Schizosaccharomyces pombe: one gene and its partners. The main gene of each other region encodes a partner of the protein of the gene in region 3 in a complex. Each region holds a gene or a part of one and is shown on either strand. Other genes may lie near its edges. A codon is read from its position in the direction of its gene.

Evidence for each region.
Region 1: the proteins of cph2 (region 3) and pst2 are in contact, whole or in part, in a cryo-EM structure (PDB 8IFG), measured with the Schizosaccharomyces pombe proteins. Residues at the interface, in NP_592978.1 of Schizosaccharomyces pombe: Leu397 (codon at 3,749), Leu399 (codon at 3,743), Lys400 (codon at 3,740), Pro406 (codon at 3,722), Ile407 (codon at 3,719), Leu408 (codon at 3,716), Phe410 (codon at 3,710), Arg411 (codon at 3,707), Cys412 (codon at 3,704), His413 (codon at 3,701), Lys414 (codon at 3,698), Ser415 (codon at 3,695), Leu417 (codon at 3,689), Val418 (codon at 3,686), Ser419 (codon at 3,683), His433 (codon at 3,641), Asp435 (codon at 3,635), Cys436 (codon at 3,632), Asn438 (codon at 3,626), Pro439 (codon at 3,623), Pro454 (codon at 3,578), Asn455 (codon at 3,575), His456 (codon at 3,572), Ser457 (codon at 3,569), His459 (codon at 3,563), Val460 (codon at 3,560), Thr461 (codon at 3,557), Pro462 (codon at 3,554), Phe481 (codon at 3,497), Lys482 (codon at 3,494); in NP_593646.1 of Schizosaccharomyces pombe: Glu36 (codon at 3,628), Ile39 (codon at 3,637), Lys40 (codon at 3,640), Val43 (codon at 3,649), Gln44 (codon at 3,652), Gly47 (codon at 3,661), Gln48 (codon at 3,664), Tyr55 (codon at 3,685), Tyr57 (codon at 3,691), Phe60 (codon at 3,700), Met61 (codon at 3,703), Val64 (codon at 3,712), Lys65 (codon at 3,715), Leu67 (codon at 3,721), His68 (codon at 3,724), Glu70 (codon at 3,730), Asp73 (codon at 3,817), Phe74 (codon at 3,820), Pro75 (codon at 3,823), Phe77 (codon at 3,829), Asn96 (codon at 3,886), Ile97 (codon at 3,889), Phe98 (codon at 3,892), Leu99 (codon at 3,895), Leu138 (codon at 4,012), Pro139 (codon at 4,015), Thr141 (codon at 4,021), Tyr142 (codon at 4,024), His143 (codon at 4,027), Ala145 (codon at 4,033).
Region 2: the proteins of cph2 (region 3) and clr6 are in contact, whole or in part, in a cryo-EM structure (PDB 8I02), measured with the Schizosaccharomyces pombe proteins. Residues at the interface, in NP_592978.1 of Schizosaccharomyces pombe: Ser419 (codon at 3,683), Gln420 (codon at 3,680), Pro434 (codon at 3,638), Asp435 (codon at 3,635), Asn438 (codon at 3,626), Pro440 (codon at 3,620), Leu441 (codon at 3,617), Ala442 (codon at 3,614), Thr443 (codon at 3,611), Arg581 (codon at 3,197), Asp582 (codon at 3,194), Leu583 (codon at 3,191), Arg585 (codon at 3,185), Ile586 (codon at 3,182), Ser587 (codon at 3,179), Lys588 (codon at 3,176), Leu604, Leu605; in NP_595333.1 of Schizosaccharomyces pombe: Arg166 (codon at 3,035), Asp188 (codon at 3,101), Phe198 (codon at 3,131), Gly199 (codon at 3,134), Lys209 (codon at 3,164), Arg226 (codon at 3,261), Gln247 (codon at 3,369), Trp248 (codon at 3,372), Phe249 (codon at 3,375), Arg250 (codon at 3,378), Asn349 (codon at 3,759), His350 (codon at 3,762), Thr352 (codon at 3,768), Gln354, Tyr355, Ser358, Ile359, Glu362, Leu370, Ser371, Ala373, Pro374.

The regions. Positions count from the first base shown.
Region 1 is NC_003424.3:2,157,096-2,163,955, forward strand, and holds the start of pst2 (Clr6 histone deacetylase complex subunit Pst2), read left to right. Parts: upstream 1-3,390; 5' UTR 3,391-3,476; coding exon 3,477-3,507; exon of another isoform or gene 3,508-3,553; coding exon 3,554-3,734; exon of another isoform or gene 3,735-3,812; coding exon 3,813-6,828; 3' UTR 6,829-6,860. Other genes in the region: ER zinc importer, CDF family, Zhf1, read left to right, coding at 1,717-2,880. UniProt on the Schizosaccharomyces pombe protein: Has a role in chromatin assembly and chromosome segregation. Involved in the deacetylation of histones.
Region 2 is NC_003423.3:849,771-853,538, reverse strand, and holds the start of clr6 (class 1 histone deacetylase Clr6), read left to right. Parts: upstream 1-2,062; 5' UTR 2,063-2,180; coding exon 2,181-2,220; exon of another isoform or gene 2,221-2,262; coding exon 2,263-2,324; exon of another isoform or gene 2,325-2,369; coding exon 2,370-2,420; exon of another isoform or gene 2,421-2,462; coding exon 2,463-2,580; exon of another isoform or gene 2,581-2,623; coding exon 2,624-2,654; exon of another isoform or gene 2,655-2,696; coding exon 2,697-2,740; exon of another isoform or gene 2,741-2,830; coding exon 2,831-2,876; exon of another isoform or gene 2,877-2,931; coding exon 2,932-3,166; exon of another isoform or gene 3,167-3,212; coding exon 3,213-3,305; exon of another isoform or gene 3,306-3,350; coding exon 3,351-3,459; exon of another isoform or gene 3,460-3,503; coding exon 3,504-3,644; exon of another isoform or gene 3,645-3,684; coding exon 3,685-3,768. Other genes in the region: spo9 (ER farnesyl pyrophosphate synthetase Erg20), read left to right, coding at 302-436, 486-623, 692-892, 933-1,514. UniProt on the Schizosaccharomyces pombe protein: Responsible for the deacetylation of lysine residues on the N-terminal part of the core histones (H2A, H2B, H3 and H4).
Region 3 is NC_003424.3:541,304-548,065, forward strand, and holds cph2 (Clr6 histone deacetylase-associated PHD protein-2 Cph2), read right to left. Parts: upstream 4,957-6,762; 5' UTR 4,938-4,956; coding exon 3,114-4,937; 3' UTR 2,824-3,113; downstream 1-2,823. Other genes in the region: translation initiation factor Tif5, read right to left, coding at 1-9; pol4 (DNA polymerase X family), read right to left, coding at 734-2,254; SWI/SNF complex subunit Snf5, read right to left, coding at 5,361-6,762.

The DNA of each region.
Region 1 (6,860 bases), 1.6 Mb from region 3:
GGGGATTGTACAAGTAGATAGTGCAGCGAATTTGTAAATATCTAATCACTTGTAACCAGCCAAAAAGTAGATAACGCAGCATACGTAGTAAATATCGAGACACATGCTTACTTCAATCTTACACTAACTGGTGATTTTTAGATATGGTGGAGACCATGAGTTATTGATAAATGAACTATTTATTTGTCATTTGAGAATGAAAAGAAGGAAATATAATGAACAGGATGATTGAGAATGTTCTTATTCTTTTTGTTTTATTAATAATCATGTATATATATATATATATATATAAAAATTTTTTTAAAAGAAAACCCTCTGACATCAGGCTTTCATTCAAAACATTAACAATGCTGCTATGTTGACAGTATAATTATGAAAAGCTCTTCAACATCACTAGATTTTCCTTTTAGAAAGAGTTTTATTTTCGAAGCATTTCTTTTTTGTATGCATTCACTCATAATATTAAAATTACTTGATATATTTAGCTTATTACTAGCGAAATCTGGGGAGAGAGAATGCTCGTTTATGAACGAAGATCATAAAACATTGTAAGTTTTGAGAACAAACCACTGCTATAAACAACAAATAGAAAGACCTTTTTAATATATTTTATGGCGTTTAATCAAATTATTAAGCAAACCCAGTAATAGCTAAAAATAGTTGAAACATCTAGGATCATTTTCAATTCCTTATTTATTTACTTCTAAACAGCCGTTCGGCCAAGTTTCTGTGAGCTACAAGAAATGATGGTATCTTTCAATAAACAATGATTGGCGTTGCATAAAGCAAGCGTATGAATGGAATATTGAGCTATTAAAAATAATATAAATATGCAATTTCAAACGTTTTCGGCTTTTAAAAGTGGAACGTGGCACATTTAATCAACGTAAATCATTTTTTTTTTACCTATAGAAGTTTACCCAAAAATTGATACCAAGTATTAGCTTTATTAACTAATTACTTTTGGTAAAGCGGTAGAACCTATTCGACGAAATATCAATCAAATTACCAAGTACGATCTTGTCGCTCACTCATTACCCAAAAAATCATAGAAAGGACGATCCAAATATGTGTGCATATTGCTTATAATTAACTCGTTTATTACTGCGATACTCTGTAATTCGTTGTATCTGATTACGAATAATAATAGTCACTTTTACGATATCAATTATTATCAGATAAATATTTTCGATCGCAAAATTTGATCTTCTAACTATTTTGACTAATTTGTGCGTTTATTCTTAACACCGAATTGAAAGAAAATTTCAAAAGGTAGTCTTTGTTAGTTCCTTTTGTGGTAAACGCGATTAGTGGCCAGTCACTTACAAAACTTTGTTAAAGCAGACTAATAGTAGTCAACGTGTGATTTTATTTTTTCTTCACCGCTTACTTCTCAAAAGCCTCCTTTTTAATTTACTATCAAAAACGGCAGTTTTGGCAGTTTTTTGAAGGTTTATTGGTTTAATTAATTTATTCTGTAAAAACAAGGAAAGCAAAATTACAGATATTTGATTCTTTAGATTTTCTTAAACCCTCTCGCATCTTCGTCTTATTTTGGCTTTTTTTTTTGTTAAATATAGCAAGTTTGCGCCTCTTTTATTTAAATTCATTTTTAAAAAGCCACCTTTCATTCTAAATTTACCTTATTCCTTTTTCTCCCTGTGAAATTCAACCCTTACCATTTTTTTGAAATTGGTGACTTTTCGTTTTCAAACTATGTTCGACCTCGCAAGACAAACTCGGATTATCCTTTTATTAGGTATTGATGTTACTTTTTTCTTCATCGAAATTATTACTGGTTATGCGATCGATTCACTTGCCCTAATTGCTGATTCATTTCATATGTTAAATGACATTGTCAGTTTACTGGTCGCTCTCTGGGCTACTCGTCTAGCACATTCAACATCTCACGAACCAAAATACACATATGGCTGGCAACGTGCAGAGATTTTAGGTGCTTTGTCGAACGGTGTATTTCTCATTGCCCTTTGCATGTTCATTTTTATGGAAGCCATAGAGCGCTTCATTGAGCCTCCTTCTGTCAGCAATCCCACCCTTATGTTCTTTGTTGGTTCTTTAGGTCTGCTAAGCAATTTCGTTGGTATCTTTTTATTTCATGACCATGGTCATGATCATCCTCACACCCATACCGCTCAAAATTACGATTTTCCTGAAGAAGATGATATTGAATCCGTTTTACCTTCGACTATCGTTCATCGTTGTAATACCAGTCAACAAGAAGTCAGCCATACACACACTCAAGTCGCAGACTCTGCTACCGAATCTTCTCCTTTATTGAGTTACACTGGTAATCATAATGGTGCTGGTACTTCAAAGCCAGTCAACAACCATGGCAGTATTGAACAAGATGCACCAAAACAAACGAAGAAACGAAATTTGAATATGCATGGTGTCTTTCTTCATGTCTTGGGTGATGCTCTCGGTAATATTGGTGTTATTAGTGCTGCTTTATTCATCAAGTATACTGACTATTCTTGGCGTTTCCTCTTTGACCCATGCATTAGTATCCTTCTTACTTTCATTATTCTTTTTAGCGCAATTCCTCTCTGTAAATCCGCTGCTCTCATCTTATTACAAGTTGCTCCTCAAAGCATCAAACTGGATGATGTTTCCAACCTAATTAATCATCTAGACGGCGTGGAATCTGTTCATGAACTCCACATCTGGCAGCTTTCGGACGTTAAATTAATTGCCACTGTTCATGTCTGCGTTACACTTCCTGATGATAAGGGAGAGTCTTATACAAAGCTTACTACGGATATCCGTAATGTCCTTCAATCTTTTGGTATATATGATGTTACCATTCAACCAGAATTCGCCAATCATCCGCTTTTATGTGACCAAGGTTCCTCGTCTTAGTTTGCGAACATTATAAATTTAACGTGGTTAATCTATTGTGTCACATCTTTTGATTTATTCTTGAGGTAAAATTTTATATTGAATGTTTACTTTGTTTCATTTTTAAAGCGTAATTTCTTCTGCCATTCCTGTTCGTATTTAAAAACTTTATTTCACCATCTTGGTTGTTTGTTTTGCGAATGCACTTAAGTAAAGTAGTCGACAACTTAACTTTGAAAGTAGATAGTTTTCGATTTCTTATTCTTGATGAAGACGATGCATAGTTTCGGTTTTATTAAATCTCTATTATTCTTAGAAAATAATGTTTAGATGTAGTGTTTAATTATTTAAAAGGAATATTTTTTAACAATTATATTGGGTTTGATTCTTCTCGTTAGTATTTTTTCTAAAGTATTCGTTGTAAGTGTAAAACACCATCCAATGTGGTATTTGTGTTCATGTCTTGATAAATCATTTGAACTTTGGCTATCAGCGTCAGTTCATGTAATGCGTTGACGAGTTTGTGCGCTTAGTTGCATTTGCCGTTTCCCAAATCATCACCTCCAAAATAAACGAGATCGTATTCCTAGTCATTTGATGGTTAAAGATCAAAATACATGGAACAAACACTAGCGATATTAAAAAATGGTACGTATCAATTTAATACATAACTCATTTTAACCAATGTTGTTAGACAACTCAACGTTAGTGGCCGAGATGCAGAATCAATTAGTCCATGATTTTTCCCCTAATGGTACCGCACTCCCCGAGCTTGATATAAAGGCATTCGTTCAAAAGTTGGGTCAAAGACTGTGTCATCGTCCTTATGTTTATAGCGCTTTCATGGATGTTGTGAAGGCTTTACACAATGAAATGTATATATGGCTTATTTACTGAGTTGCTTTGAGATAGCTCTTTTTTTATTACTATTCACTTATTAACATGAACATTAGTGTCGATTTTCCCGGGTTTATTGAAAGAATATCTGTAATCTTAAGAGATTACCCAGATCTTTTAGAATATTTGAACATCTTTTTGCCCTCGTCTTATAAATACCTTTTATCGAATAGCGGTGCCAACTTCACATTGCAATTTACCACCCCATCTGGTCCAGTTTCTACACCGTCTACTTATGTAGCTACTTACAACGACTTACCTTGTACCTATCATAGAGCTATAGGATTTGTTTCACGAGTTCGACGAGCATTATTGAGCAATCCCGAACAGTTCTTTAAATTACAGGATAGTCTTCGTAAGTTTAAAAACTCTGAGTGTTCGCTTTCTGAGCTTCAGACTATTGTAACGTCTTTGCTAGCGGAGCATCCATCTTTAGCCCACGAGTTTCACAACTTTTTACCAAGCTCCATCTTTTTTGGGAGTAAACCTCCTCTAGGATCGTTTCCATTAAGAGGAATTCAGAGTTCCCAATTTACGTTGAGTAATATTTCTGATTTGCTTAGTCAATCAAGGCCGGACAACCTCTCACCATTTTCACATTTATCAAATGAGAGCAGTGACTTTTTCAAAAATGTGAAAAATGTACTTACCGATGTAGAAACTTACCACGAATTTTTAAAACTCCTGAATTTGTACGTTCAAGGGATAATTGATAGAAATATTCTGGTGAGTCGTGGGTTTGGGTTTCTTAAATCGAATTCGGGACTTTGGAGAAGCTTTTTAAGCCTTACTAGTTTGAGTCCGGAAGAGTTTTTATCTGTATACAATTCCGCTTGCTCAGACTTCCCGGAATGTGGCCCGAGTTACCGATTGCTTCCTGTCGAAGAACGCAATATTTCTTGCAGCGGTAGAGATGATTTTGCATGGGGTATACTTAATGATGACTGGGTCAGTCATCCAACTTGGGCATCTGAAGAAAGCGGTTTCATTGTTCAGAGGAAAACGCCTTATGAAGAGGCAATGACAAAGTTGGAAGAGGAACGTTATGAATTTGATCGGCATATTGAAGCTACTTCCTGGACAATCAAGTCTCTTAAAAAAATTCAGAACCGTATAAATGAATTGCCGGAAGAGGAAAGAGAAACATATACTCTCGAGGAAGGGCTAGGTTTACCATCAAAAAGTATATACAAGAAAACTATTAAGCTTGTTTATACCAGTGAGCATGCAGAGGAAATGTTTAAGGCCTTGGAAAGAATGCCTTGCCTCACATTACCATTGGTAATCAGCAGATTAGAAGAAAAAAACGAAGAGTGGAAGTCTGTTAAAAGAAGTCTTCAACCTGGATGGCGAAGTATTGAGTTTAAAAATTACGATAAGAGCTTAGATTCACAATGCGTTTATTTTAAGGCAAGAGATAAGAAGAATGTATCTTCAAAGTTTCTCTTAGCAGAAGCCGACATTCTACGATCGCAAGCGAAGCTCCATTTTCCTTTGCGAAGTAGATCAGCTTTCGAATTTTCTTTTGTATATGACAACGAAATAGTACTTTTTGATACTTGTTATATGGTATGCACATACATTGTATGTAACTCTCCCTCTGGTTTAAAGAAAGTTGAGCATTTTTTCAAGAATATATTGCCTTTACATTTTGGTCTTGAAAAGGATAAATTTTCGATATTCCTGGATCAAGTTTTTCGTGGTCCTGATTACGATGTGAATGCCCCGAATATAGTTGGTAACAAGCCTGTACGTCGGAAAAGATCTAATTCTATAACCCAGTTGACGGAATTTGTAAAACAACCTAAAATCAATGGTCAACGCGAAAGTCGTTCAGCTGCAGCTGCTCGCAAAAAAGAAGAATCCGGTAACAAATCACAATCTAACTCTCAAAACTCTTTAAGTGATGAATCTGGAAACGTAACGCCGGTTTCTAAGAAACAGCTTTCACAACCTGCTGCAGCCATTAAAGCCAGTCTCAAATATCCAAGTCATCCAGATAGTCTTTTGGAACATCAAGATCATGCTGGTGATACGGAGAATGAAATGCATGACGACGTCGATAAAGAACAGTTTGGATATTCTTCTATGTACGTATTTTTTAGACTTTTTAACTTATTATACGAAAGGCTTTATGAGCTTCAGCGTTTGGAGGATCAAGTGTCCATTATCCAACAGCGTATAATACCAAACCCAGTATCTCAAAAACAAAAGATTTGGCGCGATAGGTGGAATGATCTTTCAGATGTCCCTGATGAAAAAACTCATTACGAAAATACTTATGTGATGATTCTTCGATTAATATATGGGATAGTTGATCAAAGTGCCTTCGAGGACTATCTGCGGTTTTATTATGGCAATAAAGCCTATAAAATATATACTATTGATAAACTCGTTTGGTCTGCTGCTAAACAAGTCCACCACATCGTTTCCGATGGAAAATACAAATTCGTTACTAGTTTAGTCGAACAAAATAGTTCTGCTTCGCCTAAGAAGAATTATGATGACTTTCTTTATCGCTTGGAAATTGAAAAGCTTTTGAATCCTGATGAAATTTTGTTTCGATTTTGTTGGATAAACAAATTTAAATCATTTGGAATCAAAATAATGAAGCGAGCGAATCTTATTGTGGATCAAAGTTTGGATACACAGAGACGAGTTTGGAAAAAATATGTTCAAAATTATCGTATACAAAAACTTACTGAAGAAATATCTTATAAAAATTATCGTTGTCCCTTTCTTTGCAGAAATATAGAGAAAGAAAGAACAGTTGAGCAATTGGTTTCACGCCTTCAAACAAAGTTATTAAGATCTGCAGAATTGGTTTCCGGATTGCAAGCAAAATTATGTTTAGACTCGTTTAAATTGCTCTACTTACCACGCACAGAAGATTCTTACATAGATGCATCTTACCTGCGCCTTAGAGATACCGACTTCCTTGATTGCCAGAATAAAAGAAAACAGCGTTGGAGAAATCGATGGGAATCGTTATTAAAATCGGTTAGGGGAACTTCTGACAACACGGCAGAGGTGAATTTTGATGCTGACATTAATGCACTATTTATCCCATAATGATTTTAATGCAGTCGACCTACCTATTGATC
Region 2 (3,768 bases), on a different chromosome or scaffold from region 3:
ACCAAAGGAGTCCTAAATCTATATTTCTACTAAACTTTAAGCATTAGATAAACATCCTAATTGTCTTGAAAATTTAGGACCAAATAGATGTTTCAAATAAGTATAGTGTTTTTGATCGATATACTTGATTCTTAAAAACGAGATAAATTTGTAACGCGCTTTCACGCGTAATTTGCAAATTTTATATTCAAGAATTGTGGTTATTTGTCATTTTAAATAATATTTTCTCATAGAAGACCTGTGCTAGTTCTCAGTCTTATACCAAGCTGGTTCTTATACATGTACAATTAAAAATACTAAAATGGTCAACGATTTTAATGAAAAAAATGGCATTAAGAAAAGACTTCTAGATTTCTTCCCAGTCGTTCTCGAAGGAATTCGTGAAATCTTAGAAAGCATGCAATACTTCCCCGAAGAAACCGAGAAGCTGTTATATGTAAGTTGATTATCTTGCCTTTATAACGCGACAGCTAACCTTCATTTAGTCCATAAAGAGAAATACGTTAGGAGGAAAGAATAATCGAGGACTGGCAGTTTTGCAATCTTTAACAAGCCTTATTAATCGAGAACTTGAAGAAGCAGAATTTCGCGACGCTGCTCTCCTAGGTTGGCTAATTGAAATTGTAAGTAAACTGGTTTTTTAATTCAGATTTGTTTACGTAAAATCACTGGGGTACTGACGGATGTTCAGTTGCAAGGTTGCTTTTTAATGGCAGATGATATTATGGATCAGTCTATCAAACGACGTGGTTTAGATTGTTGGTATTTGGTAGTTGGTGTACGAAGGGCAATTAATGAGTCACAATTACTAGAAGCATGTATTCCACTTTTAATTCGAAAGTATTTCAGAAATATGCCATACTATGTCGATTTATTGGATACTTTCCGAGAGGTATGTTACAATAAATTCAACTAAAAAGCTTACTTTCAAGGTTACTTTTCTCACCGAGTTGGGGCAACAAGAAGATTTGCTTTCATCACGAGACGGAGAAGCCTCGTTACGATCTTTTGATTTAATGAAATATGACTTTATTATCACTTATAAAACATCATTTTATTCCTTTTACCTTCCTATTAAATGTGCTTTATTGTTGTCTCGCAATTCGAATCAAAAGGCGTATGATACGACTATAAAGCTTTCAAAACTTCTTGGTTATTATTTCCAAGTCCAAGATGACTACTTAGATTGTTTCGGTGATTACACGGTTTTGGGTAAAGTGGGAATGGACATACAAGACAATAAATGCACATGGCTAGTTTGTTATGCTGAAAAATTTGCCTCTGCGGATCAGCTGAATCTTCTTCGTGCTCATTATGGAAAAGCAGGGTCTGAAAACATAGCTGTAATAAAGCAGCTTTATCATGAGCTTCAAATACCTGAATTATATCACAAATTTGAAGATGACATGGTGGATTCTATATCCAAAGAAATTGATTTGATTGATGAATCTACTGGATTGAAAAAGTGTATATTTACTAAGTTTTTTCAGCTCATTTACAAAAGGTCACGGTAGCAGTCATTTCATTTTAAATAACCGTTATTATCTTCTTCCTTATTTAAAATTTATTATTTGATGACCTTCCAAATTCTTTATGATACTGATCGACGATTTGTATTTAGGGTTATTCTTAAGGTTTCATATCATTATAGCATTTATGGTTTTTTTCATTATTGTTAAAGATCTGCATTCAGAATTTACTTTTTTAATGATTATCTGGTTGATACATTACTCTACTTGGGAAACTAAGCAAGATTTAGATTATGTAGATGTAAACATTTGGTGAGTAGTATAATAATAACATCAAATGACATTGACGATCGTTGTTAATTGGATTGGTTATGAAAGAATTATTATATTGCTCATTTGAGAAAATGCAAAAACTGTCACTGAAAAAAACATACAGCACATTTTAATAGACATTCCAAGGTTAGTCCTTTTTGTTATAACAGTATTTTACTTAAATTGAACAATTAATCGTTACTTATTTAAGATCTTGAAACACTAGTTCGTGGATGGGAGAAATATTCAATAGAACCAGGCTGCTGCTTCAGCTTCTGACCACTCCATCATAGCAACAATTCTACGCGAAAGCGCTCCGAACCTAACATTTTTAATTGATAACATAAGGAAACTGTTTGCCTTATTAAATAATTGGGAAAGAAAATCCTATTTGAAACTATGGGGTTCGGGAAGAAAAAGGTTTCTTATTTCTATGATGGTACGTGTAAACTAGTAAGATCCTAGCTAATTTTTGAAATAGAGGATGTTGGAAATTATCACTATGGTCCTCAGCATCCAATGAAGCCTCATCGCGTTCGCATGGTATGATATAAAGCTATAACTATTTATCATCATTAACCTACTTAGGTTCATAATCTGGTCGTTAATTACAACTTGTATGAGAAGTTGAACGTTATTGTAAGTTCTATTTCTCCTTTTTATACTAATAAAGTATACAAGACACCTGTTAGAGCAACAAGGAATGACATGACTCGTTGTCATACCGATGAGTATATTGAATTTCTTTGGAGAGTTACACCTGACACGATGGAAAAATTTCAACCGCATCAGCTGAAATGTAAGATTTCATTTCGATTATTTATAAATAACCGTGATTTTAGTTAACGTCGGTGATGATTGTCCTGTTTTTGAGTATGTGCGTTTATCAAATTTTTTATACTAACAATTGTTTAGTGGGCTGTACGAATTTTGTTCAATTTCTGCTGGCGGTTCAATTGGTAAGATAAAAGTTTTTCCCAAAAAAGGGGCTTTGAAGCATCCGCTGAATTTGTGAATGGAGTATAGGACTTTAACTAACATTGGTTTAGGTGCTGCTCAAGAACTTAACTCGGGAAACGCAGAAATTGCTATTAAGTATGTTATTGAGGATTTTTTAGTACTTTGAAGATCAACTAACCACTTAATTAAGTTGGGCTGGAGGCCTACATCACGCTAAAAAACGTGAAGCTTCTGGTTTCTGCTATGTTAATGATATCGCGTTGGCTGCTTTAGAATTGCTGAAATATCATCAACGTGTTCTTTACATTGATATTGATGTTCACCACGGAGACGGTGTAGAAGAATTTTTCTACACTACGGATCGCGTTATGACTTGTTCATTCCACAAATTCGGTGAATATTTTCCAGGAACCGGTCATATCAAGGTATGCATGCGGCTTTATATTTGGATTTACTTTTCTAATATTTTAGGACACCGGAATTGGAACAGGAAAAAACTATGCTGTTAACGTTCCTTTGAGAGATGGTATTGACGATGAATCTTATGAAAGCGTATTTAAGCCTGTAAGTCTTTTTTATAAATTTCTTTGTTCTAACAATCTGAATTAGGTTATAAGTCACATAATGCAATGGTTTCGACCGGAAGCTGTTATTTTACAATGTGGAACAGATTCTCTCGCTGGTGATCGACTAGGCTGCTTCAATCTGTCAATGAAGGGTAAGTAACTACTGTTTCTCGTTTTTACTAATTCCCCTCAACAGGACATTCAATGTGCGTTGATTTTGTTAAGAGCTTTAATTTGCCAATGATATGCGTTGGAGGAGGTGGATATACTGTACGGAATGTTGCCCGTGTCTGGACTTATGAAACTGGTCTTTTAGCCGGCGAAGAGCTTGATGAAAGTAAGTACCAATACGTAAATTGTTTATTAACCCATCCAAGACCTTCCTTATAATGACTATTTACAATATTACGGTCCCGATTACAAGCTCAATGTTCTTTCAAACAATATGGAAAACCATAACA
Region 3 (6,762 bases):
GGTTGCCATTGTTATTACAGTCTCGATGATTTTTTTAGGTAATATAAAAAAATTTGCTCTACTTTATGTCTTTAAAAAGCGCTTAGTGCTTGTGACTTATTCTAAAATTTGAAATATCATAACAAGTCACTCTTTCGATAAAAAATCCGTATTATCTTTAAAATGTTCCTTTTATTTCAGATGGCCAGTCCTTGAACGTTGATTAAATGCACAGTTTTGTATTTTAAACGATGTCTCAAACATGAAAGTCCTTTGGTGATGGTTTTCCAAAGGTATGTGTCAAGGTAAGGTGTTTGGTAAAAAACAAAAGTTGCAGCCACAACTTTTTATTATTTTTAACCCACTCCAGTCACGTGCCCTAAGATGAGTAAAATTGTCATTTTAACGCCATGACGTTAAAAATCGTTATTCGTCTTTAAAAAAAATCCATATTTTGTAAACACAGCATTCGCATAGAGCTTCATTGTATACCAAACTGTTAGACCTCAATTTTCCCTCTCTTTAAATTCGAGATTTCTGATAAATTTACTTGTTTGATGTCTCATTTCTGTTCCAAGGATTTCGTTTCCTAATAGACCGATTGGAAAAATGTGTAAACATTTCAAGTTTTTAGCAAAAAATCTACTAAAAGTGTCGGGTAGCAAAGAAACATAAATTAAAAGAAGCTTCGTAAAACAATTTTCGAAATCGCGAGTTAGTAATGTGGCGATCTTAAGGTCAAGATAGGTATTTACTATCCCGTGTTACGAAACTTTGGTTCAATATACTCTAGGGAGAAATATCTAAAAATGTCTTTTTCAGCTTCCACGGGATCCTTCCACTCATTAAATTCGTCGGGACATATGTCTTTTCCTGTTTTAAGATTTATGATTTCGAACGAATCATAGCTTAGACCCAAATGAGAGTTAGCATAAAGCTTCAAATCGCGAAGAAAAAATATTCCTCCACTCCATCCTAATACGGCAGAGCCTATGTATGCAGGCGGCACTACTATAATATCAACACGCCTATTGATTTTAGAAGAATTTGACAAAATGACTGCTAGCATTACATAACCTTTCTTTCCTCCGCAAGAATGTTCCTGAACAGAAATTAGTCGGAATTGAAATTCCTCGTCTAAAATTCTTAAGAGAACATCCACCAGATGTTTTGTAGAATGAGTATGTGATGGACTCAACACCATATCAACGTCCGCTCCAACAGGCTTTCCCCGACGAAATCCACCTACTAGACAAGACTGAATTTTAATTCCATCCGGCATCCGTGAGACAATAGTTTCATAAATCTCCGTGGCTTCCTCAATGGTTACAGTTTTACAAAAATCTTCATAAAACTCCAGACCAACTTTTATTTGTTTGGTAAATGAATCTTTGTGCTTCCTAACTTGTTCAATCGTACGCCAACCCTTTTGGTACCATTCAGCAGCATGAGAAGCACCAACTCCGAAAATATTGTAAAATAAAAGCAAAATTTTTGAAGCCGGATCCTTCTGAAATTCCTCAGCTTCTTTTAAGGTTCCCGTTGATGCAAACTCTTTCCAAAGATGTACTATTTTGGGCCCACAACCGGGCATTTTCTCTAATTGTTCTGCGCTATCGATAGGCAAGGGAAAAGCTTTAATGGTTGCAATCGCCATTCCGTATGCCCTAGTCCTTACTGATTCACCGTTTACTTCTCTGCATGTTTTCAAGACACTTAAAGCATTCACAAAGGCTTGATTGACACATTTAAGCGGTGTCTTTCTCTGGCACGCATACCGTGGAATTTCAAGAACGTAAGGGTATTCTTTCGTAGTCGGATAAACTGATCCTTCTTGATCAACATTGTCAATGCTTTTAACTTCGTTATTATTTTCTGTGTTTGGAGTTTCGTGGTTTTCAAAATCGTTTGGTGCTTCAGTGTGCGAAGCAGGTCTTGTTGAAGGTGTGTACGGCGAGCCAACTTTCATCTCTGGTTTTCGATGCCATATCACATATGGATTCCCGGGCGTTAAAGATTCTTTAGGCTCGTTAAGCCAGTCAATTTTAACAATCAACTTACACGATACACACGTCTCTAACGGTGTTCCAATTGTTCTTAGCTCTCGCCGAACTCTGTTAATTTGACTGTAATTGACAAAAATGTAATCCGCTTTTGCTGCATCGTTTGTGAATTCTCCTCCAAAATTTACAATTTTTGATCGCGCATCTTCATATTGTGAATTGGACAAGCGATTATGTAGTACATAATTTGTACTGCTTGCAAGAATCTTCATTTTGAACAATTACAACTAAGGGAACAAAAAACGTATTGCCTATTAATTGACCTTGTAATAAATTTCGAGGTTACCCAATTCTTAGAACAAACTAATATGGAAAATAAAAACAAGCTAAAGGCACAATAAAGCATCTACTAAGTTACAAAGCAATGATAGACATGATGATGAAACCGACATGTTTTAAGGTAATTTTATTTTAGAGCAATGCAACTTTTCCTTATGTGCTAATAATGACACATTAAAAGGAATAAAAAAAATGTTAATAATACGTAAGCAAACTACTTTTGAAATTACACTATCATACAGTTTCTTTATTATTTCTGTGCTATTGTTTAAGTACTATTGCAAATCGCTTTGCATTCTATCCAGTTTATCGCAATCATTTGCTTGTAATTCAACTTATCCCAAAGAATTCTTTAGTTGTATCAACAGTTCTACGGTGAAACTAATAATTCAATATACAAAAATACTACACGTTAAAGCATTCAAATAAGAATAATTAAACGTGATAAAATTTGGCTTATTTCTGTACTCCATTTTGTAACGTAACTTTTCTTAATTTTGCAGTTCAACTATAAGTTAAAGTATTTGTTGCACAGCATAATTGCATATACAACTTAATTAAATTTACAATTAAGGAAAAATGCCTGCACCTTTCCCAAGGAGACTTTTTGAATACCACACTTCGATCACAATTCACTAATTGGAAGCACCTTCGCAATACCAAAAATAAAGAAAAAAAATAAAACCATTCATATATGAAATCGTATCATTCATGGTTAGATAGGCATAAATATTAAGACATTTCAACGTCGAAGACACCGCACTTGAAAGAATCGAGGTGCTATGCTATCTTTCAATAGCTTAATAAGTTAGCCAAATCAAAAGGTGCAGGAACGGGTTGATTAGGATCCCATTTAGAAATTCTCAAAAGATCCCTTAAAGCCAAAACATAATCATCATTTTCTAAGTTGTCATTGGCAACATCGCAAAGGATTCGCAAAGGCAATTCACAATCACGGGTTGCATAAAAGTCAAATTTGGAAAAGGTTTCAATACATAGTTGTTCATCCTGCTCAACCATTTTACGTAAATTAATAACGTTATCACGTATTTGTTCTAAAAAGTTCAACTTAAACGGTTTACTAGGTACCACACGTATTTTTCCCTGTAGTTGTATTGTTTGCACAGATGGTTCATCCTCATTTTCATCAATAACTATATTTCCTTTATTTTTGAAACCACGAGGTAAACCGACACGAATAACCTTTGCTTTTTCAGGTAACCTATACCGAGGCGTGACATGATCGCTATGGTTAGGACATTTCCACTTCCGGAGATTCGAAGGCAAAGTTGCGAGTGGAGGATTTAAACAATCGGGATGCCAGTAGGAGTTACAATAATCGCAAGCTAGTATACTCTGAGAGACCAGAGCCGATTTATGACAACGAAAACATAAAATGGGAGTACCACTTTTACTCTTCAAAAGCAAAGGATCACGTTCTTCTCCATTGCTTCTTCGGCTAGATTTAAGATGCTTCAAAACATCCGTCTCGATATATTCACCCATCACTCCACTTCCGACACCTCTAAAAAAGCTGCTAATTGAATGAGGAAGATGAAACTGAATAGGATTGTGAGAATCAATATATGTACAAAGTTGCATCCACACATCAACCATCGTTCCTTCTTCTTTGACATTACTTTCCAATTCTTCTTGCTCATCCAATTCATTGTACAAGCTATGGTGTTTACATTCATTGCAATACCAAGCGTCATCTGGTAAATTTTTTTCTTCGATAGGCGGATCTATACAAGTAAAATGAAAACTATTCGGGCATGTTTCACAACACAAAAAATTGCCTGGACCATGACATGCGGAGCAGTAATCATTGTTATATCTGTATGGATATTCTTCAGGGGTAGGAAGTAATTCATTGCTACTAATGTCTTCGGCCCGGCCCTCCATGTCGTTAAAATTCTCTGATTCATTACCTAAATGTTTTTGGTTGGAATACACGGTAACATTTCGTGTAACATTATTCTCCGTTACGACCTCAGAGGTAGGAACAGGAATGTTAGCCTTGAAAGTTAGCTTCCCAGAAAAAAGAGGTTTGGAAGAGTTATTCGCTTTCTTCATCGATGAACTAGAGATATCAGATAAGTCTTTAGCCGTTGTTTTTAGAGACTTATTCTCTTTAAGGAGATTATTATTATTTCCTTTCTGGGGGTTGATTTTTCGTGATCTCTCTTGATCGGGTACTATAGGACGAAAGTCATCATCCAATGTATTCCAAGCCACAAATCCATCCTTAGTATCATAGGTTCTCCTAACTTTTCTTCTTAACTTAGTAATACTAGGTCCGTTGTTAGATGTATCATGATCACCTTTTTCTGCACCTTCACCATTCACATGCTTTCTCTTAACAGAAGGAGAATAATCTAAATCATCCTTGCTTCCATCGTCAGAGTTATCAACTGAGGCTCTACCATTAGAGTTGCCGTTTTGGGCCCTATTTCTTCTCGAGGTCGCTTTATTCGGTGAAGCGCTCCTGGAATTTATTGACCCATGCGAACTCTTTGCATTCCTTTCAGCACCGGCTTTTTGAATAATTTTAAGATCTTCCAAAATAGAAGCTTGAAAGGCTTCTGATGTATGATTCCATGGTTTTGCATCCATTGATGAAAACGTGGACGTCGTGTAGTGTGAACATACAATGAAGATTTATGCTAGCAAAGATGAATTTAACGAGAAACAAGGAAAGACTGCTATAAACCGAAAAGAAAGATTTGTTAGTTATTTTGTTTAAATATCAAAAATATTATAATTTCCAAAAACTGAAATGAAGGCTGTAAAGTAATTTGATTCATCGGTTACCCGTACATACTTTAAATTTAGCCACATGACTGAACATTAAGGATTAATAAGCCTTTGAATAATATACAGTGTATTTCCTCAAATTTAATAAATTAATCGTATTGAGGATAGAGTGCCTCATTTGTAACAGAAGCTATCAACTGAAAGAAACTGGTCCGTCGAGCTATCCATAACGTGAGTCAAATCTTGATTATGGTCTTTGATAAAGATTCTTCCAAAATTGTATTAAGTATTTCTATCCAAAACCGTATTCATTCTCACCTCCTTTTTTTGTTGATGCGAGCTTGACAACAAGTGGATATGGAAATTGCCAAACGTGAATCCTGGGCCGGCTGTAAAATACTCATTAATGCAATCATGACAACATATTCTCACAGTCATCCTTTCAGCAGGATTTAAAGCAGGTTTTACGATAACATTAAATCGATCATTCGGAAATTTTGCAAATGTCTCTATAACACATCGTTTAACCCAGGAAGGGGTAAAATCAGGTAAATTTAACTTTTGCATATGAACCAAAGCGGATTCAGAAGAATTGCTGTTAGTAAGAAACGCGTCAGAAGAAAGGCTAGGAGACGAAAATTGTGGTAATGGCGAAATATTTTGCCCATATGTAGAAGGTGTGTTCCTTTCACTTTCAAATTCGTTTAGTGAGTCAAAACTCATGGAATTGGGCAAGGGAGTGAGTTTCCGTTGTTGGAAGTTATTGAGGGTTAAGGTTTGTGATTGTTCAACGATTATTTTTAGTTTCTGAGAGTCAACTTTTAGACGCACAATTAAATGTTCTCTTTCAGGATTATTAGTATTAATTTCGTTAAGTGTCTCGCCATCAGAATTTGTAGATAAACTTAAAGCATGCATAAAGTCATCATCCGAGGGGACCGATGAACTGGGGAAGAGACTTCGATGTATTTTAGGAATGTCCCGAAGATCTGGTAACATAATCCCGTGTTTTGCCCTTCCTTGTCTACGCCGCATACGACGTGCTTCCCTATCATAACCTCTATCCTGCCGTTCCATTTCAGCATCGTTTAGCTCGTAAATCATTGGGGCAAAGGAGGAGGATTCCATGTCAGAGAACCGTAGTGTGTTTTTAAGAGGAGGTAAAATGTAAGAGCGAACTTCCTCGTCTTCGATTTCACTTCCGTCAAACAAATATCCTATAAGGCTTAAATATTTTATGTACATTTGGCACTGCTCACGAATTGAGTGAGCTACAGCTGTACAAAATTCTCCTGACAATCCTAGATCTAAGCACATCACAGTAGCAAATTCCTCAGCGCTGCTTTCAGGAGCAAACAAATTCCATTCAAATTGGTCAATAAGATTCAGCCGACCAATGGTAATATCAAGCTTGATCAATATCCTCAAATCGTTTTGTACAGTTGGAATTTGTTGCTTGGAAGCTTTAGCCAACGAATCTGACGGTTCGTGCGCATAAACAGTCTCTGAGGTAGACGAACTAACATCTGAAACAAAACTTAAATTAGACTGAGCCTTACGCGGCTCATAGTCATTTATTTGAGCTTGAATACTCTTTGAAATATTTTGAACAATATGTACATTATGCAGTGGAATATCATAATCAATGCAGATCTGTTCAGCAAATTGATCTAATGAAATACAC